Linked DNA regions of Ovis aries. The protein of the gene in region 6 interacts with the protein of the main gene of each other region in a biochemical or structural test. Links are inferred from orthologs where the notes say so. Each region holds a gene or a part of one and is shown on either strand. Other genes may lie near its edges.

Region 1 (3,500 bases), on a different chromosome or scaffold from region 6:
ACAGCCTCTTCTTCAGCAACTTGGACAATCTCCTCCCTCTCGTCTGCAAGTGGTCCCTCTTCAGGTAAGGCAAATTTCACTAAAGGGTGAAAGCATCCAATTTTAAGGTACAAGCTAAGAACAGTCCCTCGTACTTTCCCTACCCTATACCAAGCCTTGTGGGTCATGAGCTATAATTATGAAAGCCAGAGGAGAGGGACAAACCAAAGGGCCATATTCAAAGTCTGAAGCTGAAAAGAACCAAAGTTCATAAAAACAAGGTCAGCAGAAACAATAAAGCTTCTGAGAACACTATGACCCTTAAAACAAGGAGGCCCTTTTCCTTTTCCCTTTCAGGTGACAGCTAACATAACTGTCAGAGCAACCCCAAGGACTATACAATTCATGGACTTCTCCAGGCCAGAATACTAGAGTGGGTAGCCTTTCCCTTATTCCAGGGGATCTTCCCAACCTAAGGACTGAACCCAGGTCTCCCACATTGCAAGTGGATTCTTTACCAGTTGAGCCACAAGGGAAGACCAAGCATATTGGAGTGGGTAGTCTATCCCTTCTCCAGTGGATTTTCCCGACCCAGGAATCAAACTGGGGGTCTCCTGCATTGCAGACAGATTCTTTACCAACTGAGCTATCAGAGAAGCCCCTATCATATTGGGATGGTTTCAAATCGAAACTGCTAAAGTAGCTAACAGTGCTATGAGAAGAGAAAACATCTGGTGCTAAGTACTGCAGGACTATATGACTACTTTTGACTCCTTTCCTCCTCCTCTTTGCAAAGTAATGAGTAGTCATGACAGAAAAACTGGCAAAACATGGATGAGTTGAGAAAAAAATAACAACAAACCACCGGTAATCTTACTGAGACAACTACTGTGAACATTTTGGTGTAAGTTCTTCTAGACTTGGTTTAGACTTTTTTTGTTATCCATTTGTACTCAAGTGTGTGTGTGGAAATACATATATATTTTTTAAATACATAGTTTTAAAATTTGAGTGTTTGAATAGTATCTGAAATACATGAAATTGGTTCTACCTATCTGACCTCTAGAAATTCTGCCACAAAGAAATTTATGACAGCAGAATTTAACCCTAAGAAGTTTTAGCTTGGTGCTCCTGTTTTGCCCACTATTTCCTGACTGCTGCCCTTGGAGAAATGAGACAACTCAGCTGCTGGGGGTGGGGGTGGGGGTGGGAGGGCGGGGGAGGGTTCTCTGCTGAGGGGCTCCGTCCACTTACAAGACGACTTCTTACTGCAGAACCCAGGCAGCACAGTTGGCTGCTGTTCCTCTGTGGCATACAGCTGTAATTCAGCCCCTGGGAAAGTGCAGAAATGAATTACGGGAGCTGCTTTGCTCCTGATGCACATGTAGAGTCTAAACGAACAACCATGATCCAACCTCTAACAAAGATTCCCGTCTCCACTCTGAGTAAAGAAGAGCACTTCTACCTGCTCAGGTCTGGCAATCTCAAGTCAGGCGTCACCCCAGTGGGGGCGTGGGGTGAGGTCCGGGAATTTCAGGGACACTCACTATGCGGGGACTTCTGTCTCCAAGGTGGTTTGTGATCCGGGGCGGCATCCAATGTAAGGGATCGGATGACAGTCTCACACACGAACTGGGTCCCACTCAAATCATCTTCTGGTTCCTCCACGGAAGAAACATTCTCAGCCTTTTTCTTTACTGACACTGTGGAATCTGGAAAGGACAATTTTTGTCTGCACTTGGTGTTTAAAGTATTGCAGAGCTTTCTCCAGTCATGTCCCCATGCTGATATGATGCCAAGGAATAGCTGCTGTCTGTGCTATGTGAAGGTAAGGAGACTTCAAAAAATCAGATCGTTGGAAAACCCGTTCACACACCAAGGTAAGGTTAGTAGAAGGTATGGATAACAACAGGGCGTGGTATGGAAGGGGAGGATGCAAATGCTTTACAAATATTTAACCCCTTACCAGGAAGTGCTTTAAATCCCGCCCCTTCACTCTCTTCCTGTATCTGCCCCAAGCCTGGCTTCTCTATTAAAGGACTGTCATGTGGCAGAGGAGACATGCAGGGAGTCATATCTGGAGAATGAAGATAGGAGAACCATCAACCAAGAAAAAGCATTGCATCATCAATACTCAGTGTCCAGAAGCAGCACCTTCTAGGTTTCCTGCCTCCTGCAGAACTAAAATAAACCCAGGTACGCTTCAAGGCCTGTTGTAAAGAATTTCTCCAGACCATCAAGTACACAAGTATCTCAGACAGGTCCATCAACACAGGAAGGATCATAAACAGTTGTTTGGCTTTGGAAGACCATGGCCAAGACACAGAACCATGAATGTAAAGTAACAAAGGGACACAAACGCCTAGAGAGAAACGGAGAAGAGGGTCCCTTTATGGTGGAGAAACTCTGTACAAACTTGTTGCCTCTGACGGACAATAGGGAAATGGAAAATGGGCCCATGGGTGCAGTTTTAATATCACATTGTGGGAGAAATCCTTGCCTACTAATATCTCCGAATGACATAGTCACTACCAGAGTCAGGGGGGCAGTACTATTGGGCCTGTTAATAAACAAGGTGGACCAAATGACATTCTTACCCACAGGAGTGTTGTGGGGCACTCTCTCCAACTCTTGGACAATATTTATATCCAATAGCTCAAAGGACAGCAGATCCTGAAAAAAAAAAAAAGGGGGGGAGGGCATGTTAGGCTACTTGCAACACATGCTAGAGCCGTGTTTTGTGTTAAAGGCCACTGAGCTCCACATCGTCCTAGATGCAACTCATGTTCAAATTCATGCCTCATCTCAGTCAAGTGAGAACAAGAAGAGTTAATGGGAACCAAACATTCAAATAGCCACTGGGAAGAGAGAGAGCAGATGCAGTGGGGGTGAAGGTGAACCAGTTAGGCAGAAAGAAGAGGCAGTGAAGGGGAAGTTGTGGGAAGCACAAGATAAATTTCCAATTCAAAGAGGAAACATTTAGTTTAGAAACTTGCTTCCATTGGGGATGTTCTTGCCATTTGACGCATCTCACTAGATTAGAGTGGGTCTATCTCTAACTTCCTGGGCACCACCGATGGCTCTACCCGCTTTCCTTCAACAAGTTAAGAACTTGTTCCCCAGGGCTTTCTGTCCCTTCCCCTCAAAATGCTCAATCTTCCACCTGGGCAGTCAGAAGATCCACGGATGGGATGTAGAGCTCCCTCTTGCTGGCAGCACTCTTTGCCTTCTGTGGGATGTGGGTTCCTGTCCCTTCTGTCTGCTCAGTTGTTTCACCAGGCAGAATTTCTTCTTTACCCAGAAAAGCTTCCTATGGAGAGAAACCATTGGGACACATTTTCGGCCCTCAACAGAACTCAAAAAGCAAGTTGACGGCTGCCTCCCTAAAGTCAAATGCACTGTATGTAGTAAAACTTCTTGTTTTAATTTCACACTTTTCTATGAAAAAGCTGCAAAAAGAGTACAGAGAGTTTACTAATTACTCCCTTCATCTAGCTTCCCCTAATGACAGTAACTTAGAT
Region 2 (3,500 bases), on a different chromosome or scaffold from region 6:
TTCAGTTTACTCTGTTCTCTCTGGAATTCTTTCATCCTATGTTGGGCCTCCAGGATTAATCCTCAAATTATCCCACCTTGGTTACTTTCCTCCATCCATTTTCCATCTTCCAAAGTTTGATGAGATTGTTTTATCTTGTCCTCCATTATTTTTTTCCCTTTTTCTTTATCCATGTTGCTTTATTTTGTTTAACCCCTTCACTATTATTTTAGTAGAGTATGAGGAGCAAGCAGAGAAAATAAAAGCAGGCTTAGCAACTGGTACCCCATCTGCAATATTTACATTGTTTTTCTTCTTCCATTTCCCCTGCAGTTTTCATTGTGAAACATTCAAATAATCAGAAAAGACAGAAGAACAGTACAATGGATACCCATATACTTTCTAAAATGGGTGAATGATGCGACTCTTCTGTAATGAATTTTCGAGATTACTGAATTAGAGTTTTTCCAACTTGATGATAATCTGAGACTTCAGGGCTTAGAAGACTGTACCACAGTCTCTGCCCTGCTATCCCCAAAGCCTCTATGTAGGGGTTGTGGAAGACTCCACGGCCCTGCTGTTTTACATCCTAGGAGTCAGTGGCTGTGACCTCCAGCCAGGTACAGCCCTGGGCTCATGCTCTTGCTCAGCTGGCTCTCACAGCACTTATCAAAAAAAGGTCTCAGTCGCTGACTCACTGTACAGACTGCCCTCTGAGAGGTATTAGTGGTTATATCCCTCCTGGGCCCCTGCTGTTGGAACTAATGTTCCCTTCTAAGCAGTTAGTAGACTGAGTTATCCTGTTAGTTCCTCAAAAGAAAGGAAAATACCTGTAACTCCAAAGACAGAGTTTAATCCATCCCTCGAATGGCTCTCTTGAATAGCTACTCAAACACACATTCCACTGAAACTTGTTTTGTAGGGTTCCAGACTCCTCCCAAGTTAGCAGAAAGCACTCCCGCCACTCTGAAAGACCTGAGAGCCTTAATTCTTACTGCCGAAGACCTCAGAACACTTCTAAAATTATTCCCTTGTGTCCTGAGTGGAGAATCCAGGTCCAGTTCTGAAACACTTCACAAGCTCAGATGGGTCTCAGGATGGAAAGCAAGTGTGACAGTCTCCTGGGAAGCCTTCAGAACACATCGACCCTCATGCCCTACCCAAAATCCACTTAACCAATCAAGGGACCTGGAACTCCTCACTGTTTTACAGTCTCCTGCCTGAATGTAGATGTGGTTTTGTGACTTCCCAAGTTATCTTGTTCATTCTTTCAAAAGAAAACTTTTCTCTTCAGGATAATCAGTTTTAAGAGTTTCCATACACCAAAATATATACCCTCCCATAAAAAAACAAAAACAAAAAATAAAAATCAACCTTTCATTGGTGATTCTGATGTTCAGTGCACTTGAGAACCACTGTCCATTTACTATCTTCCGAAGAAAAATTTTCCATGGCCTCTAAGTAACAACCCATTAGTTGGGATTACTTAAAATCCTACTATGTCTTCACTATGTCTTAAGTGAGTGGCAGAGTTTAGGAATAACCTATCTCCCAATTATTTCATCTCTACTCCACTGTTACCCTCCTTAGAAAGCATTAAATATACTAATTATTTTTCCTCACTTGCTCAAAAGTCTTTAACTCCAATGCAGAAATTGTGTGAGATCTATTTCATGTAGCAGTGATGCCAAGATGTCACTGCTACTTCAAAGCTGCTTCAATGTGAGCAGAAATGGTCTCAGGTTGGAAGCAATGGCAGTCATGCTCTGTGAGCCACAGGGCGGGTGGTGGGTGAGCTTGGACACCCTCCTACAGCATTCTTTCAGACACTGGACACCACTTTTGGACAGACCAGGTAACACTTCCTGCCACTGCAGTCACAAAGATGGCATCATGGATCCATCATAAGTCACCTTCATCAGCTGATTCTTATGGCCACAACACAGCAAGTGCTGTTTGAAGTTTTATTTTTAGCCTTGGGCCAAGTCACTCTATGAAGGTGCACAGCTCACCCACCCAGACACCCACCCTGGGCCTGCACCCTGGGAATCCAGCAGCAGACACGAGAACCTTCCTCCCTCACTCCTTTCCCTCTGACAGTGGCACAAGCCCAGTTCTTAGGAAGCACCAGGAAAGGTTGGGGGTTGCAGAAAAGGGAAGAAAAGCAATATGGCATCTCAGCTAACTACTCACTGAAGTCCTCAAAGAAACCCCAAGGCTCAAGTAAGGAGAAATACAGAGTGGTCTTCCAAAGGAAGAAGATGAAGGGCAGCCTTAAACTGAGCCTGGTTACCCTCCCTAGTGGGATTACCCAACCAAATGCTGGCTGATTCTTGGCTGATTCCACTTCACTCTGTGTGGAAAGCTAAAGAATTTGTCAGGGAGTTCAACCTCAAGCGGCCTGTGGTGCAGCACTTGGTCAAGACTGATTGATATGAGGCCAGCGAATCCTTACTGGTCTCAAAGACACATCAGCTGCCCCTCCTCTGCAGTATCCCAGCTGAAAGCCACAGAACAGCCGCCTGTACACTGGTTACCAAACGCTCTGCTGATGTCAAAGGAGGGGCACTTACCCAGAGGGCTGAGGGCAGCCGCCACACTCTCCCCTACATTCTTGAGGAAATTCACACTGGGATCTTCTGATGGACCAGAGGCTTTGGTTTCAAAAAACAAAAGATACTTTTAATTCAAAGCATCTCTCTCAATGACTGAAACCTGTCACAGTCCTGTCTGTCCCAGAAGCCCTACTCCCGGGGCCTGTTCCCAGCAGCCTATACCCTATTGCTTCCCTCTCTCCCCCTCTCTAGGCCACCTCCTAGGCCCCTTTGTCTTTCACACCACTCCCCCTTCATCTACCTTCCTGGTGCCTAGAAACTCTGTACACAGAGTATAATGTATTATTTACCCCTCCCCCGGAAAAAGCATTATTTACTCAAACAAATACCCTCATCTTTGTCACTAAGGACAAGGTGAGTCAAAGGACATAGTAATACTAATAAAATCAGAATAAAACTAGAATCTAAAAGTTCAGAATGCAAGCTATGTGTAAATTTTTAACTTGGGAACTGTTTTACAAGACTTGAGCAAACCTGGCTGTGACTTTCCTAACAATTAGCATGAACAAGAAGAGAGCCGACTGGAGACGCAGGCGCTGGAGGGGCCTCCCACCTGCATGGGAGGGCCACCGGGGCAGGTGCATTAGTGGCCTTGAGCACCGAGGCACTAGTTTTCCCAGATGTACAATGGAGATGATGCTTGCACTTTGCAGGATTTTATGAGGATTAAATGCACAAACGGCCACAAAGTGCCTAGGCCAGCCACAGGCATGCAGGATTTTAGGGCACAGGGAAAGCCCTCCAGCTCTGCAGGCCCTCACATCTCATCCTTCAGAGGCCAGCAGATACAACCCTCACCTGATTCCGTGGCAGGGCCAGGGTGGGCCTCCCCTGCCTGAGGAGGACGTGGGCTCCAGTTCCCCGGTGGGCCCATCTCCCAGCCAGGCCACCCAAAGTGCCCATGTT
Region 3 (4,174 bases), on a different chromosome or scaffold from region 6:
TTTTATTTCTAAAGCTGAGTGGTGATATGTAAGTATTTACTAAATTCATCCCCATTATCTTTTGGATGTCTAAAACTTTGTAATTAAAAAAAAGAACAATCTTAAGATTGATACTCAAATGATTATCATTATAGGAATAAAGAGAAACAGTTTAGGCTAGAAAGCACTCAAATAAGATACTTTATGAAGCAGGCTTTGAATAAAACATAGATTACTAGTAAAAAAATAATAATAATAAATAACACAAACTTTTCTAAGGGAAAATCATGAACAAAGGCAAACCTGGGAGTACCCACAGCCTATAACCTAAACAAAGAACAATAGGGAGACTTTAGAAGGAAAGATTCAGCTTGCAGAAGTAACAAGGCTGGGGGTTAAGGCTGAGACCAAGCTATGGAGCTCTTGGGTACCAGTCAGCGAGTATGCCCCAATCTCCCCCCGCCTGCAAAATAAGGAGGAGTATGACTAAAGTGATGTTTAAGAAAAAAAAAAAAAAATCAGAACAGAAGCTGCGTGCAGGATGAACTAACGCAGTGTAATATAGATCAGCAGAGGATTCCACACGAAACCAAAAGGGGAACAGAGGGAGGTGAGGCGTTGAGAACCAAGTCCTACGGCTCTGCCTCTACTCCAAAGACAGCTCTTCTGCTGTTAAAATATTTTGATAAGCACTGAACTACTGTGCCCAACCGGAAGGCACTGCTATAAATCAACTCTTAAGGGTCTTAAAACCATGGAATGGGGTAGTAATACTGGAAATGAAAGGGGGTAGACACAGACTTTCTGATGGAAAATTTTATATGATGTAGTGACAAACTAAATAAGATAAGGAAAGAAATGGATCCACATGAAGAAACCAAAAATGCTACGAAGCAGCTACTGGTCATATAGACTCGATCAACAGCAACACATTTGTGACCATGTAATAATGTCTGAGCCCTAAGGAAGAGCTACTCACAGCAGAAAAGCGAAGTGGAATTCTTACAGAGATTAAAAGGAGAACAAGCAAAGGGGACAAGATTATCGAAAGAGATGCTTGTGGAATGCTAAGACAGCAAGCAGAGTTTTGGTTGCAAAAAGAGGCATCACTGGAGACACAATGAGTGGGGACACAACCCTTGCAGCTCAACATTACTGAACATATTATAAAGCACTGTGCTAAGCGTTCCACTGGCAGCTCCTCCACCCGACCAAGTTATTTAACCTTGCCCTGGTGGCTCAGATGGTAAAGTGTCTGCCTGGAATGTGGGAGACCCGGGTTCGATCCCTGGGTCGGGAAGATCCCCTGGAGAAGGAAATGGCAATCCACTCCAGTACTATTGCCTGGAAAATCCCATGGACAGAGGACCCTAGTAGGCTACAGTCCATAGGGTTGCAAAGAGTTGGACACAACTGAGCGACTTCACTTTCAAGTTTCATTTAATGAGGAAAATATAGACAATTAACATTATTGAACATATTATGAAGCACTGTACTGTAAGTGCTCTACATACGACCTCATTTACTCCAAACACATTTTACAGATGAAGAAATTAAATTCAGAACTAGCACAGTACGTGGCAGAGCCAGGATTCCTATTCCTTGAGACAACGAAGTAAAAGAATGTATATACAAAATTCTTGGCAAATAGTTAAGATCGCAAAAAAAATGGTAGCTTCATTTCATTATTAGAGGGCAATCATTAAGAGGCACAACACAAAAATTCACTGTCAGTTATCTCTGTCATAGCCCTCCATGTGGTGAACCCTCTTTAGTGTCCTCATCTCATAAAACAGGATTAACGTGTATAATCCAACCTACTCAATGGGGTTGCTTTAAGGATTATAAACAATAGGATGGAAAAGAAAACGCTATGAAAAAAATCTAAGAGATATTCAAACATATGGGATTTGTCACATATCTTTTGTGCTTTAGAAATGCCTTCCTGGATGAACATGTCTCTCTGAAGAGAGCTAAAAATACGTCTCTTAAACGTGCAACCCACCACTTTGAAAAGTGTAAGTCATCAACGGATGGTGGTACACACCACCACCCCTCCCCCAACCCCTCCAGGTTCTCTAATTCGCTCTTAAATCTACAGTGAAATTCTCATAACTTGGCGTAGAGCTCATCAATAGAGTTTCTCCTTCAATTCAGAGTCATTCAACTTGGCCTTACTGTAGGATCTCAGAGGTACCCTTTACAGTCCTTCCAAAACAAAATGGGGGGAAAACTGGTTCCAGTTGTTACAGTATTAAAACTGAGTGCCAAATCAATATTCAGAATTGGGATATTTTAAAATGCCAGAGAAGAATTTATCAAGGGCTCCAACAGCAGGTCTCTTTCGGAAACTCCCCAACAACCCCCCTTTTTCACCTGAACAGATGGTTCCCAGGCTTCAAGGCTCACATGTCTTGTCACACAATTCACAATAGCTCATGAAGTTCCTACCTTTGCAATTATTCCATATTCTTGAATATATCGCCTTTCATCTAAAGATCTCTAGCTATCAAAACTCTATTCACTCTTCACAACAGCACTATCTGCGAGAAAGATTGGTACCCTTATTTTACAAATTGAAATGCTTTATCCAACATCAATCAACTGATTCACTCTTATGGGGGGAAATACACATTACAAATTTGTATCAATGGACAGCCTTGATTTAGCTTTTCAAGACCATTTCAACTGCTACTTTTCCAATATACCAGAGAATATTAACGAACAGTAAATACCAAAGCATCACTATTTTTACATGCTAAAAGAAAAACAAACCTATACATACACACACACACACACACACACACACACACACACACACACACATATGGGGGAGGGGTTCTAATTTAAGACTACTACTGTCCGGCATCCATAAATAATTTTGAACTTGCAGAGTAAGGGGCGAGGAACACCTGTTAGTGCAGCATTTGCACAGTTAAGTTTTACACACTGTCTAGCTATTAATATTTAATTCCTTGAACTGTAAATAAATAACCCGCTTTCTCAAAAAAAAAAAAAAGGTGGGGGGTGGGCAACATTCTGGAAAATATTTGACAAGAAAGCCTTGATGGTTGTACGAAGCCCAATAATTTCCTAGTTTTACGTCTCCCAGATGCTGAACCTGACACGAGGGAGAACCCCGCCCGCCCCCGGAGTCCGGCCGCGGGGCGCCCAGCGCTGCCCACCGACTCTCCCCGCGCGCGCCAGGCCCGGCGGGCCGGGGGCACTCGAGGCTTGGCCTCCCCTCCTGCCCCGCCTCACCCACCGACAGGCGCGGCCCGGCGCTAGGACCCGCCTTGCGACCCCCGGCGCGCCCGGCTGGGGGCCCCGCAGCCGCGGGAAGGGGATCGCGGTCCCGCCCGGCCTAGCCGCCCCCGCCCCGCGGCCGGCGGCGCCGCCTCCCTGCTGCTCCTCGCGCCCCGCGTTCGTTTACCTCTTGGGCGCTGGCGGCTGCTCCATGGCGGCCAGGGTCAGAAGGAGGGACCAGGTGGGCGGCGAAGGCGAGAGGCGGGCAGAGTGCCGGGGCACCAGCCGGCCGAGCCAGGAGAGCCACAGCAGGAAACTCCAGGAACTCGGACCAACTTTCCCGTAACTCCGCGGCGGATCCCCCGCCCGCGGGCCGAGCGGGGCTCCTCCCGGCCCGCCCCGCCCCTCGGCCGCCGGCCCTGGCCGGGGAAGGGTAGGCGGGGCCGGCCGGGGAAGGGTGGGCGGAGCCGGCCACGGGCCAGGGATGGGTGGGCGGGGCCGGCGGCGGCCCAGTGCGGTGGGCGGGGCCGGGCGCTGGGGCCGGGGCGCAGGACAGGGCCGGCCCTGGTGCAGGAGTCGGGAGGAAAGAAACCCGGAGTGGAAGGGCGAGAGGCTGAGGCCTAGTCTGGACCCAGAGCCAATCTCGGCTGGCCTGGGACACATTCTTTTCCAGTGGCCCGAAGCTGCCGCTCCTCACTCGCCTTCACTGCTTTTGACCCTATCTGATTTGACTCGTTTCTTTGGATTTCCCAAGGATACCCTTCCAAACATCTTGAAGCAACCTTTTGAAGTACTGCTAACTGCCAACGCTTCCCTCTCTAGTTCTCATGATTATTGGTTGTTTTCCCCCAGCCAGCCCCTGGTCCTCGGGATGCTTATGGATCATGTCTAATTAAAAAGAAAATTATTAACTGCAGTGAGAGCTCTCATGCACTACATTCAGTGTGGC
Region 4 (4,251 bases), on a different chromosome or scaffold from region 6:
ATTTTAGAAGGCACCCTTAACTGGTAGCTAAAGAAAAACAGGGTGGAACAAAATTCCTGTGGTTAAGGGTATATACAAATGCAAATACCATTTATTTTTCCTCTGCTTTAAACATTCAGTATAATAGTTTTTATCAATGATCAAATAAATATATGTATTTCAAAGAAATATTTTCTCTATGTTCACCTATAAGAAAAGTTTCACATTTAAGTAGACTTTTTACTGTTTAATACTTTAAGTGGCTTTCTATATTTTACTTTTTTTCATAATGCTTAAAGAGGGCTTAAAAGGGCTTTTTTTTCAAAATGCTTAATGCTTAAAGCATTTATAATGCTTTAAAATAAATACTAAATGAGCATTTTTGAAAATAAGAATGAAATACGGAGTTAGACTTTAAAACACCATGCCACTCAAGGGGAAAATATACTAAGGGAAAATATACTAAGGCAAAATATTATTAAAAAATTATTATTTAAAGCCTGTTCTTATGCTACAGAATGTTTTATGGCTTAAATCACTTTGGAAAGGTTTTTTTTTAATGCATATCTTGTATGCTGATAAAATAATAAATAGAGTAAAAAACTATTAGGCACTTTTCAGATTCACAAATATCAAATTCATGACTACAAAGTACTTGCTAGCTAAGGACCAAGAAAATATATAAAGCAGCCAAGTTATAATAAATTTTACCAAATATTTCACAGAGCTATTCTAGTATAAACTAACATTTTCCAAAACCAAAGGAAACTTACCTTATAAGAATGCTTTAAAGAATTAGGTAGTTCATTTGTGAAATCTCTGTTGCTGTCTCTGGTTAAATTATCAACTTTACCTTCATTTCCAGATGCAAACTTTATGAGTAATTGAGATGGTCCCCCCTTAGAACAATTGTGCTTAAGGCTAGATAAACAGGAAACATTTGGATAAGTTCCCCCCAATGAAATACTTCTCTGTAAAAGAGCATGGTTTTTGTTTATCTGTAAATTTGGTCTTTCCAACTGTCCACTGATATTTATTTGATAATCTACATTTTGGGAGGATGGTAAACATGCAGATGTCCTATGCATAAGCTTAATAAACTCTGGATCAGAATTAAGCTCAGTTTCTGACATCTCTGGTTTACAATCACCATTTGCTGCTTCACAATCTAATGCAGTTGCTTTCTGTTGGGTAAAATGCAGTGAAACACAAGAATATCCTTCAGATGGCTGTTCACAGACAGTCTGATTTGGACTAGTATTTGCAATAATGATTTTCTTTTGTAATGAGCCCTTCCTGTGAAGAGGTCGTATGTCTCTTACTTCTCCGGGAGTACAGACTGTCTTGGATAACCGAAGTCCATTGACAGCTGTTGAAAGAAATCCCTTAGCACTAGTGCCATCTTCACTGTGGGCAATTTCACTAGGAGAAATAATAAACTGGTGTGAGGTCTGATAGGATCCTTTGCTTGGAAGAGTACCTGTACTTGTTGGAGAAGTTGGTGGTGTATTTGAAGGACTCCTAGGAAAAATGACTAAGGATGAACAACGTTTTAGTGGAATTTTCGAGTTCCTGCTCACTGGCAATTTCATAATCTCTAGTCCATGATCCAAGTCATCCTGGACAAAGGGAACTGTACTTGTACTTGAGAAAATTTCACATGGAGCAGTATTCCTGTTTGGCACACTTCTATTGGAGGCGCTGTCAGAAGATAAATTTCCACCAAAAAAGGTATCATCAGTTGGTGGAAAAGTATAACCACTGCTGTCACTGATGCTACTGTTGGTGTATGAACCTCCACTGGTGATACTTGTGCAGGACCCATAATCACTACCATTGCTGCTGTAAGACCCATTTTCACTGGCTGAAAAGTTACCAAGACTACCACTGCAAATGGCAGGACTGCTTAAGAGGTTACCATCATCCGTGGCATTCAGTTCGTTATCAACCACAGCACTGCCATCCTTTAAGACACAAGTAAATGAAGCATCATCACCATCAGCTAAGACATTGCCAGACTGAAGACATCCACTGTACCTTGTTGGTTGTAATGATATCTGCAGACAGCTGCTCTTTTTATGAACATTTTCAGGTGAAGGAAAAGATGATCTTTCCCGAGACTTAAGGTTTTCCTTTATTAACGGAGCTAATGCAGTCTGTTTGGGAGTCAGCTTCATTTGAACCACGTTCGCCGTTGAAATCCGTGCTGGTCTCGTGAAGCACATGTGAATGCTGCTATCCAAATCATCTCCGGAGGTTTCTGACAAAGGATAAGTATTGCTTCTTCTGGCTGCAAAGTGCAATCGTAAGCTTTGTGCCATTTGTTCTCATTTCCAAACATGTTAAGGGCTGAGAGTCATAACAAAGATCTCTGTCGGTAGACAGGCTAGAAGCAGCTGCACTGCAGCAAAAGAAAAAATCATTTGTGTGCCTGAAAGAGCTCAGAAGTAGTAGTCTTTATCCTAAGCAAAATCTTAAAGACCAGATAGCATATGAAAGAAAAAGACGGCCCATTCCTGAGACTGACGTTTCCAAAATGTCTTGAATCGCTTGTAGTCAAAATGCCTTCACTTACAAAGCACTTGATTTCCAGCGACCTTTAAGCTGAGCTCAGCTGCAGCACACTGCCTCAAACACTGCCAACCTTGTTTCAATTATACCTTCTCCAATTTGCATGAATGAGTAACACAAGAACAACAATCTTCTAGCATTTCAAGTTGAAACAGTATTTTTTTCACTCCAGCTCTACTAAATGAACATTTAACTCTGTGAATCACGGTGCCTATACTTTCTCCAGCAGAGTTTGACCACTAATATTTTTACCCATAGGGATAGAATTACAGGAAGTTGGTAGGAACGAAACTCCATGTAATTGAGTATCAAATCAAGGATTGCATTTCCAAATAGTGGCCATACTAGGAATCCAGTCAACTTAGTAAATGTAGAAAGGAATATAGACTGTTAATATTTTTAAAAGGAGAAAGTTCAAATGTTTGTATATATTTGGAAACACCAAAACTGCGGGGGTGAATTGAAAGTTTAGCATTAAACCAAACATAAATATTTTAGTTTCCAAAACACTACGTACTTATAAAAAGTGAAAGCTGAAGGATCGAAATACAAAATTTGCCTAGTAATACCATTGCAAAAATTGAGCATAGGTCTGAGAAAAAAAACGTTTGTGAGAAGCTGTCACCAAGCATTTTCTCCTGTAATTTTAAGGCCTTTCCAGCCAAGCAGTACAGTCTTTAAATGATTCCATTTATATTTTGACTATTAAAACTCTGCCAAGAAATAGCCTAAGCAAACATTCCATTAAAAATATATGCAGATTAGACAGAAAAACTATACCCTAATATAGTTTGAGCACACAAGATATTTTATTCCACTGTCTATGCAATTCATTCACTTAAGAGAGTGTTGTGGTAAGTAAAGAAGTCTAAAAAGGATTTAACACATCAAATAAACATATCTCAATGCCAACTCTATTCTGAAAAACTCTAAGAGCTCTTTGCTGGCCCCTACTGGTGCATTGAAACAATTCATTTAGTTGTTTGATATCTATAAAGAAGTATAAACCGTATGGCATATTTCTTTATATAGACAAAGTACATACTTGTTTACATTTTTGAGTACTAGCACTGACCTAAAGATGGAATTACTTACTACTGCTGATAAAGCTCCCGCAGGAGAGAACAGTAAACTGTTTGTCCTTTTAGACGTTGTGATTTTGTATATATATACATTTTTTTCTGCTTTGTATTTATTTAACCTTTACTTTATTTTCAGTTTACTAGGTAATAAAAGTTTAATATTTTAATTTCTCCCCTAAATGTCATAGACCAAGGTTGGTATTCTATTTGAAAGAAACACATTTATTTTAAAATAATACTCTAGGGTATATTTAAACTTCTTACCTGAATTTTACAGCTGGAACTCCAGTAATAAATATATACTGGCTCATTCATAGGAAAGTAAAAAGTAAAATAGTTCAGTTGTTTACACCACATGGTACTACACCCAAGTTGTACTTTCCTAAGTAAGCTTTTTTTCCTAAGTAAAAGCAAATATGTAAAACATATACTTGCACTTTGTTTAAAAAAGAAAACTTAGGATATATCTGTTCTCAATCATAATTTTCTAAACAGCATTTTTAATCAATTAAGACAGGACAAAACAGAAATATGGAATTTACTAGATTCTATTTCTGACTAGAATGAGATACTACTATGTTTTAGAATGTGTACAGTTGTAAACTTAGTAATAAAATTG
Region 5 (4,114 bases), on a different chromosome or scaffold from region 6:
AAGTAAACTGGTATACAATGAAATATTATTCAATGAAAAGAAATAACTATCAAGCCATGAAAAGACATTTGAAAAACCCTGCAGGTTTAAGCTTTGGGTTTTTTTTTTTTAATAAATAGATTTTAAAATCAGATTTTAAAGTTTATTAGAAAATTCAATAGAAAGCTTTATTAATCTGAATTGAATATTGCCAAGTGAAAGAATGTATATTCCAACTGCATGATATTCTGGAAAAGGTAGAACCAGACAATAAGAAAATTAATGGTTCTGAAGGGCTGGGAGGCAAGGAGAGGGAGGCATAAATAGGTTGAACAGAGGATTTTTTAAGATTGTGAAACTGTTCTGTGTATTATTGTCATGATAGGTACATGACATACATTTATGACATACATGTACATCATACATACATGTACACGACATACATGTTATATAGATACATGACATGCCTGTACAACACAGAGTAAATCCTAATATAAACTACATGTTTTAATTAATGATAGATAACTGTAAGTTCATAACTTTTTAACAAGGGCATACACTAATGCAAGATGTTGTAAACAGGTGAAACTGAGAGGGGGTGGAGTATATGAGAGCTTTCTGCAGCTTTCTATTGGATTTTCTAGTAAACCTAAGACTGGTCTTAAAAATCTATTTGTTAAATGCAAAAACAAAAAAACTTAAAAGGTATCTCTGCAGAAACCTGTAGGGTTTTTCAAATTTCCCCACAGGCTCATGGTCTCAAATGAGAGGGTGCTTCATTCTTCATGAACGCTAGAAGAAAAGCTAAAACTCATTAAGCCTTTATATCATGGGTACTGCGTATAAGTACATTACTCTGCTAATCAACAAATATTTATTTAAAGCAAGGAGAGCCAACCTACGCGATTTAATGCGTATATCACCTACGCGATTTATGCGTGTATCATCTACGCAATTTAGTTCGATCGTCATACAATGCTATGAAGTACCACTGCCATTAACGTTTTTAAAAAACAAGCGGCAGCTCTGACAGAAGCCAGACAACTGATAAATACAACAACTGGCATTTAGTCTGAATTCCAAACCCAAAGTTCGAAACCATAAAGCCGAACGGAATAGAATTAACCATTTCGAACTCCGTCGTCCGAAACAATGAACGGGCAACAAATCTCGCGATGCTATTGAAGCTACTACTACTCCCGATATGCAAAGCGGTTTCCGTGCCGCAACCTGTGCCGCAGCAGGTGCCGCAGCCTGTGCCGCAGAGTCCGCGGGGTCCCGGCATGCCTCGAGGCGCGAAAGGCAATCTGGGAGCCGTAGTTCTCCTGGATGCCTAGTGGTGGTGCCGGCGCGGAGGTGGCGGATCGCTCGCTTCCAGCCAGTAGGTCCTCTGAGGGCGAGCTGAGGCGGAGAAAGGGCGTGGAACTGGAACCCGGTGAGTGGGACGCGGTCTACGCGATCGAGGGAGGCGGCACCGCGGCAGAGGGCTGACTTAAATAAATGGACCAGTGCTGCAGTCTCTCCGGAGACACCGCGGTCTTAGCGTCAGCGAGAAGAGGGTGAGGAGGCGCCAGAACCTGGTCCTTGCACCCGTTCTCATCTTTCGCTCTCCGCCGCTCTCTCCATCATGCAGTCCCGGGAAGAAGCTTCGCGCTCTCGCCGCCTCGCCAGTCCCCGCGGCGGGAAGCGCCCCAAAAGGGTTCACAAACCCACGGTTTCGGCTTTTTTCACTGGCCCGGAGGAGCTGAAGGACACGGGCCATTCTGCAGCTCTGCTGGCCCAGCTCAAGTCCTTCTACGATGCGCGGCTTCTCTGCGATGTGACCATCGAGGTGGTCACCCCCGGCAGCGGGCCCGGCACGGGCCGCCTCTTCCCCTGCAACCGAAACGTGCTGGCGGCCGCGTGTCCCTACTTCAAGAGCATGTTCACCGGCGGCATGTACGAGAGCCATCAGACGAACGTGACCATGCACGACGTGGACGCCGAGTCCTTCGAGGTCCTGGTCGATTACTGCTACACCGGTCGCGTGTCCCTGAGTGAATCGAACGTGGAGCGCCTTTATGCAGCCTCCGACATGCTGCAGCTGGAGTACGTGCGGGAAGCCTGTGCCTCCTTCCTAGCCCGCCGCCTTGACCTGGCCAACTGCACAGCCATCTTCAAGTTTGCTGATGCCTTCGGCCATCGCAAGCTGCGATCACAGGCCCAGTCCTTTATAGCCCACAACTTCAAGCATCTCAGCCAGATGAGTCCAATTCGCGAAGAGTCCCTGGCAGATCTGACCCTGGCCCAGCTGCTGACCGTCCTGCGCCTGGACAGTCTCAACATCGAGCACGAGCAGACCGTGTGTCATGTGGCGGTGCAGTGGTTGGAGGCGGCTCCCAAGGAGCGGGGTCCCAGCGCTGCAGAAGTCTTCAAGTGTGTCCGCTGGACCCACTTCACTGACGAAGATCGGGGCTACCTGGAAGAGCTGCTGACCAACACCGTGGTGAAGAAGTACTGTCTGGACCTCATTGAAGGGGCCCGGCAGATGCGGTATGGTGACACATTGTGCAAGTCTCTGGTGCCCAAGCCAGAGAGCAGTGGTGGCAGCAGTGGCAGTGGCGTTGTTAGCTGCGTTGCTTGTGGTGGTGGTGGTGGTGGAGGTGGTGGTGGCGGTGGCAGCAGCAGCGTCGTTAACGTTGTTCTTGGCGGCGGAAGCAGCAGCTCCGTTGTGCCCATGGCTGATCATCCACCTCAGAGGCTAGGTGTGTATGCCAAGAAGATGGTGATCTTCTTTGGCCATCCCAGAGATCCCTTTCTGTGCTGTGACCCATACTCGGGGGACATTTACAAAGTGCCATCACCTCTGACCTGCCTTGCTCACACTAGGACTGTGACCACCTTAGCTGTCTGTGTCTCTCCAGACCATGACATCTATCTGGCCGCCCAGCCCAGGAAGGATCTCTGGGTGTATAAACCAGCCCAGAATAGTTGGCAGCAGCTTGCTGACCGCCTGCTCTGCCGGGAGGGCATGGACGTGGCATACCTCAATGGCTACATCTACATCCTGGGTGGTCGGGACCCCATTACCGGCATTAAACTGAAGGAGGTGGAGTGCTACAGTGTCCAGAGAAACCAGTGGGCGCTGGTGGCTCCGCTGCCCCATTCCTTTATTTCCTTTGACCTGATGGTCATTCAGAACTATCTGTACGCTCTCAACAGTAAGCGCATGTTCTGCTTTGATCCCAGCCACAATATGTGGCTGAAGTGTGTTTCTCTGAAGCGCAATGATTTTCAGGAAGCCTGTGTCTTCAACGATGAGATCTATTGCATCTGCGACATCCCTGTCATGAAGGTGTACAATCCAGTCAGAGGAGAGTGGAGGCAGATTAATAACATCCCCTTGGTGTCGGAGACTAACAACTACCGGATTATCAATCATGGCCAAAAACTGTTGCTGATCACCTCCCGCACCCCGCAGTGGAAGAAGAACCGGGTGACCGTGTATGAATACGATGTTAGGGGTGACCAGTGGATTAATATAGGTACCACATTAGGCCTGTTCCAGTTCGATTCTAACTTTTTTTGCCTCTCAGCTCGCGTTTATCCTTCCTGTCTTGAACCCGGTCAGAGTTTTCTCACTGAGGAGGAAGAAGTACCTAGTGAATCCAGCACTGAGTGGGATTTAGGTGGGTTCAGTGAGTTGGATTCTGAATCAGGGAGCTCAAGCTCTTTATCTGATGATGATTTGTGGGTTCAGGTAGCCCCTCAGTGAAATGCACAGCAGAGTGTGTTACAGATAAATTGAAACACTAAGGTATTTTTACTGCTTTGGAAAGTATCTTAAAGAGATACCCTTTCTCTTTGCTGGAAGGAAAAAAAAAAAGTTGATTAATTTCAAGTTTGGCTTAGAAAGGGTATTGTTTGAAATACTAATATAATATCACAGAATTTAAACATCTTTAAAAGAAATCAACCTGTTTAATAATTTACTGTTCTAAAAGTCCAGTGTGGATTTGTTTGGTATGTTTATGTTTGACAATATAAGTTAATTGTAATCAGTAGTCTTCTATGATTAAATCTTACATTGTCTTGTGCCACAAGTGTTTCAACTTGAATTTTAATTTCTACACTAAAAAACTGATTGGATAGGAAT
Region 6 (4,290 bases):
TGAAAAGTGAAAGAAGTCGCTCAGTCATGTCCGACTCTTTGTAACCCTATGGACTGCGGCCTACCAGGCTCCTCCATCCATGGGATTTTCCAGGCAAGAGTACTGGAGTGGGGTGCCATTGCCTTCTCCGCTACTCTTAGCTAGGAGGAGCTAAATTTATGTGGTGGGTGGGAGAGGAAGTAATTTCAGAATCTGGTTAACTAACACTGGATAATCCAAAGACCAGACCCTGACCATTGCACTGCTCTCGTGTGGTGAGCAAATGCCTGTTCTACATGGAAAGTGTAGATCTGAAGATGGGGCTCCTATATTTCCACATTGCACCTTCATCTCCTTTCTTCTTCCACGAGGGTCTCATTTTATTAAGGGTGAGGAGTCTCCAAGAGTGGAAACTTTAGTTTAAATCTTGTTTAGCATAGGACTTTTGGTCTGTATTTTTCATTGCTCTTTGTGCAGCTCCCAGCACAGTGCATGATACATAATGGGTGCTTAATATCAGTGTGCTTAATGACAAGGTTAAGAGTCAAGTCATCTAAACATATTGATATTAAGCACCCATTATGACTTAATGTAAAGATTCAAGGGCTTCCCTGGTGGCTCAGATGGTAAAGAATCTGCTTGCAATGCAGGAGATCAGGTTCTCCTGGGTCGAGGAGATACTCTGGAGAAGGAAATGGCAACCCACTCCAATATTCTTGTCTGGGAAATCCCATGGACAGAGGAGCCTGGTGAGTCACAGACCCGGGGGTTGCAAAGAGTTGGACACGACTGAGTGACTAACATACATACAAAGATTCAAAATTATTAGGATGAAGGATGAAGCGTATGATAACTGGAGGTGTACCTGTATGGAAAAAAGGAGGAAGTTGTGTCAAAATTCACTTCTTGGTGAAGCCACGCTGTGCCCCAGCAGCCTGTTGGCTGACAGAAGGAGGGGTCTACATCCGACTGTGGTTCTCCTTGAGTTGCCCCAATTTCCATGGATTAACCTAACCCTTAAGTAGGTCTGAGAAGAATGCAGGGCCTTCTGAAAGAGCTCATTTTAAAAAGCATCATAATAAGTTCTCAGATGAAACTGTCTGCATCAGCCAAAACTTTTGAGAGGTTGTTTCCAGCACAGGGAGACTCACACACCAGCCATGTTTACGGAACCCTTAGTCAGCTATTTTTGGTTTCATATCACTTTTTATTGAGTCCAGCTGGCAGATGACCACCTCAATCCCTTAAGTTTCAAAGTCAGCAACACTGGTTTTACTCTACGCCTTCCCTTGCTCTGAATGGAAGAAAGAAGGATGTGGGGGAAGGTGTGGTTCTCCTGCTCAGTGATTCAGCAGGTGGACAGTGCATTTTCCTACCCCAAATTCCCTCCCAGCCACAAGAGGGAAAATATTTAGAGGTACAATGCTGTCACTGGGCTTTTAAAATAGCTGAAAACAGGGTTTTGGACCAGTTTCTAAAGGTTCCTTTGAAAAATTCTTAGAGAAATTTGAAGGCAGAAATTAAAACACAGTACCAGTAAAATGTAGGACAAAGGGAAAAATAGCTGATACATCAATATTGGGAGTGCTCATTTATTTTAGGGCGGTAGCAAAATATTTGACATCATTTTAAAACTGGTTACTCATGAGATCATCCTTTTTAAAGGCGTAGTTGGGGCCCCCCTGGTGGCTCAGTGGTAAAGAGTCCAAGAGTCCGCCTGCCAATGCAGGAGACACGGGTTCTTCGATTCCTGGCCTGGGAAGATCCCACATGTCGCAGAGCAGCTCAGCCCCTGCACCACAGGCACTGAGCCTGTGCTCTAGAGCCTGGGAGCCACAATTGCTGAGCCCACGTGATGCAACTACTGAAGCCCACGCGCCCTAGCGTCATGCTTTGCAACAAGGGAAGCGCTACAGTGAGAAGCCCGTGCAGCAGAACTAGAGTAGCCTCAGCCAGCCACAACTAGAGAAAAACCCCCACACAGCAATGGAGATGCAGGACAGCCACACACACACACACACACACACACACACACACACACGCACACACATGCACACACACACGCACACACACACACAAAAGGCATATTGAAGAGAAAGGGGGAGCACAAATCATTCTCCTTCTCTGCCACCTCCCATCTCTCATTGTCCCAAAAGCCCAAGCCCACACAACACCCCCCCCCACCCCCCAGGCTCTTAGCTACCTACCGAATGACGCTGAGGAACTGGGTCATGGTCAATTCCTGTGGGACCAGGAACTTGGTCTTGTCCAGCCGGGGCAGGAACTTCTCCCTGGGGTAGCGCTCCACTATCACCTGTCAAGGGTTTCAACCTGAATCTCCTCTGAAGCAAATGTCAAAGGATACACCTCACTTTTCTATGTCTGAGGAACTTGGACTAGAAAGAAGGAGGTCACTGGCTGGTTTTGGTGTTTTGAATAGGCTCTCACAGCCCCCTCCCCCTAATCCCTGCCCTCACCCTCACTCCCACTCCCCAGGACAATGGAGTCTTACCGGGATCTTGCCAGGGAACTTCACTCTGATTCCAGCAACTTCCTCTCTTCTGGTTGCTGTGAACATTTAAGATAAAATGAGCACATCGGCATATACAGAAGTCTGTACCTTCTCTTGCTGTCTCAAGGGCCGAAACCCAGACAGCTATTCTGAGAGCTTTACCTAAGCTCTTCCTCTGCTTGAAAGGTCTGAGGCTTGGGCTTTTCTGTGGAGTCTGCATTTTGCTCAACAGTTGTGTCTGTGTCTGCCTGGAAAAAAAAAAAATCTCACCACCAGGACCTAATTCATCCTTCCAGCTGCTTCCAAACTGCCGGCAGGAGCCCAAAGGAGGCTTTTATGTAGGGCTGTGTGACATCACCCTTCTCCAATCCTCCCTTCTCCCCGGGCAGGAGGAGGTCAGTGCTGAGAAAGGAAATGAAACAGGCACCTGGTTGCTGGTTCAAGAAAGTTACTTCACTCACTACTATTTAAAAATTTTGTTTTTGCTAAACAAATTAAATTTTATATTGTCATTCATTGATCATCGAGGCTTCCCTAGTGGCCCAGAGGTAAAAATCTGCCTGAGATTGCAGGAGATGCAGGTTCGATCCCTGGATCAGGAATATCCCCTGGAGAAGGAAATGGCAACTCGCACCAGTATTCTTGCCTGGAAGATTCCATAAACAGAGGAGCCATGGGGTGGCAAAGAGTCCGACATGACAGTGACTAAAACAAAAAGCACTGGTCCTCCCTATAAATGGTCCTATGAGCCTAAGCTAAGAAGTTATGGATAGAAACAGTTTCATGTGAGGACATTGTAATACTACAGTAATGAAGCAAATTGAATAGTGATTCACCTTATCCTGAAATATATTGCTATTTTTCACAGTAAGAAATACTAATAGGTATTCCCAAAAGGTTGAACAATTTGTCCAGATAAAAATATGTAAAACCAGTGTTAAAATCCAGCTGTGTAGCAAAGTAGTATTTCCAACATATTTTGTTCATATTTTTACAGGTCTAGGAATGTGTGTAGAACACTGGTTGTTATTCTCAGGATCTTGCATTTAAGATGATAAAACTGAGATCCATAGAAGCTGATTCACTGGTCTCCTTATTCTCAGATCAGGGTGTTTCACCTGATTGTGCTTCTTTTATGCATTAATTATGGTTCTAGTGATTCAGCTTTCTCATTTGATGCTGATCACCTCCTTACCTTACATCCAGGAGCACAGTGGTCCTGCCATCTTATTCAGGTATGTCCTAAGAATAAATAGGACCATTTGGACTTCTTCCATGGTCTCTGAAGGTACCATGACTTTCATGGGTCATCCCTGGTTCTGTTCCATGCAGGACATCGGACATTGAAGTCTTCAGCCTAATAATGATGACATAGAGAAAACCAAACATTCTCTAGGTTTGTGGAGAGACACAAAGAAAAGTAGTTTATTTTGCTTCTGTATGGGCTTCCCTTGTGGCTCAGCTGGTAAAGAACTCACCTGCAATGCGAGAGATCTGTGTTTGATCCCTGGGTTGGGAAGATACCCTGGAGAAGAAACAGCTACCCACTCCAGTATTCTGGCCTAGAGAATTCCATGGACTGTATAGTCCATGGGGTCACAAAGAGTTAGACACAAATGAGAGACTTTCACTTTCACTACTTAAAACTTCTCCATTAAAACTTATTTATTTATTTATTTATTTATTTATTTTTGCCTTTTCTCCTGCCTAGGAAGCTAGGTAGGATTCCCTGGTTAAAAATCCACCTACCAATGTAGGAGACATGGGTTCAATCTCTGGGTCAGGAAGATCCCCTGGAG

What was found.
Region 1: the proteins of MAP1LC3C (region 6) and NBR1 form a complex in vitro, tested with the Homo sapiens proteins (2 studies listed by IntAct). The link is inferred for Ovis aries from reciprocal best matches to the Homo sapiens genes MAP1LC3C and NBR1.
Region 2: the proteins of MAP1LC3C (region 6) and SQSTM1 form a complex in vitro, tested with the Homo sapiens proteins (6 studies listed by BioGRID and IntAct, with this or other methods). The link is inferred for Ovis aries from reciprocal best matches to the Homo sapiens genes MAP1LC3C and SQSTM1.
Region 3: the proteins of MAP1LC3C (region 6) and STK3 form a complex in vitro, tested with the Homo sapiens proteins (2 studies listed by BioGRID and IntAct). The link is inferred for Ovis aries from reciprocal best matches to the Homo sapiens genes MAP1LC3C and STK3.
Region 4: the proteins of MAP1LC3C (region 6) and NEDD4 form a complex in vitro, tested with the Homo sapiens proteins (2 studies listed by BioGRID and IntAct). The link is inferred for Ovis aries from reciprocal best matches to the Homo sapiens genes MAP1LC3C and NEDD4.
Region 5: the proteins of MAP1LC3C (region 6) and KBTBD6 form a complex in vitro, tested with the Homo sapiens proteins (2 studies listed by BioGRID and IntAct, with this or other methods). The link is inferred for Ovis aries from reciprocal best matches to the Homo sapiens genes MAP1LC3C and KBTBD6.

What each region holds. Positions count from the first base shown.
Region 1 is NC_056064.1:42,917,185-42,920,684, reverse strand, and holds part of NBR1 (next to BRCA1 gene 1 protein), read right to left. Parts: intron 3,290-3,500; coding exon 3,143-3,289; intron 2,653-3,142; coding exon 2,577-2,652; intron 2,057-2,576; coding exon 1,946-2,056; intron 1,692-1,945; coding exon 1,527-1,691; intron 1,312-1,526; coding exon 1,234-1,311; intron 80-1,233; coding exon 1-79. UniProt on the Homo sapiens protein: Ubiquitin-binding autophagy adapter that participates in different processes including host defense or intracellular homeostasis.
Region 2 is NC_056058.1:1,199,702-1,203,201, forward strand, and holds part of SQSTM1 (sequestosome-1), read right to left. Parts: coding exon 3,393-3,500; intron 2,634-3,392; coding exon 2,553-2,633; intron 1-2,552. UniProt on the Homo sapiens protein: Molecular adapter required for selective macroautophagy (aggrephagy) by acting as a bridge between polyubiquitinated proteins and autophagosomes.
Region 3 is NC_056062.1:78,383,212-78,387,385, reverse strand, and holds the start of STK3 (serine/threonine-protein kinase 3), read right to left. Parts: upstream 2,801-4,174; 5' UTR 1-2,800. UniProt on the Homo sapiens protein: Stress-activated, pro-apoptotic kinase which, following caspase-cleavage, enters the nucleus and induces chromatin condensation followed by internucleosomal DNA fragmentation.
Region 4 is NC_056060.1:52,607,608-52,611,858, reverse strand, and holds the start of NEDD4 (E3 ubiquitin-protein ligase NEDD4), read right to left. Parts: upstream 2,801-4,251; 5' UTR 2,301-2,800; coding exon 753-2,300; intron 1-752. UniProt on the Homo sapiens protein: E3 ubiquitin-protein ligase which accepts ubiquitin from an E2 ubiquitin-conjugating enzyme in the form of a thioester and then directly transfers the ubiquitin to targeted substrates. Specifically ubiquitinates 'Lys-63' in target proteins.
Region 5 is NC_056063.1:11,708,823-11,712,936, reverse strand, and holds the start of KBTBD6 (kelch repeat and BTB domain-containing protein 6), read left to right. Parts: upstream 1-1,314; 5' UTR 1,315-1,606; coding exon 1,607-3,733; 3' UTR 3,734-4,114. UniProt on the Homo sapiens protein: As part of the CUL3(KBTBD6/7) E3 ubiquitin ligase complex functions as a substrate adapter for the RAC1 guanine exchange factor (GEF) TIAM1, mediating its 'Lys-48' ubiquitination and proteasomal degradation.
Region 6 is NC_056065.1:34,213,969-34,218,258, forward strand, and holds the start of MAP1LC3C (microtubule-associated proteins 1A/1B light chain 3C), read right to left. Parts: upstream 2,801-4,290; 5' UTR 2,712-2,800; coding exon 2,654-2,711; intron 2,548-2,653; coding exon 2,492-2,547; intron 2,294-2,491; coding exon 2,187-2,293; intron 1-2,186.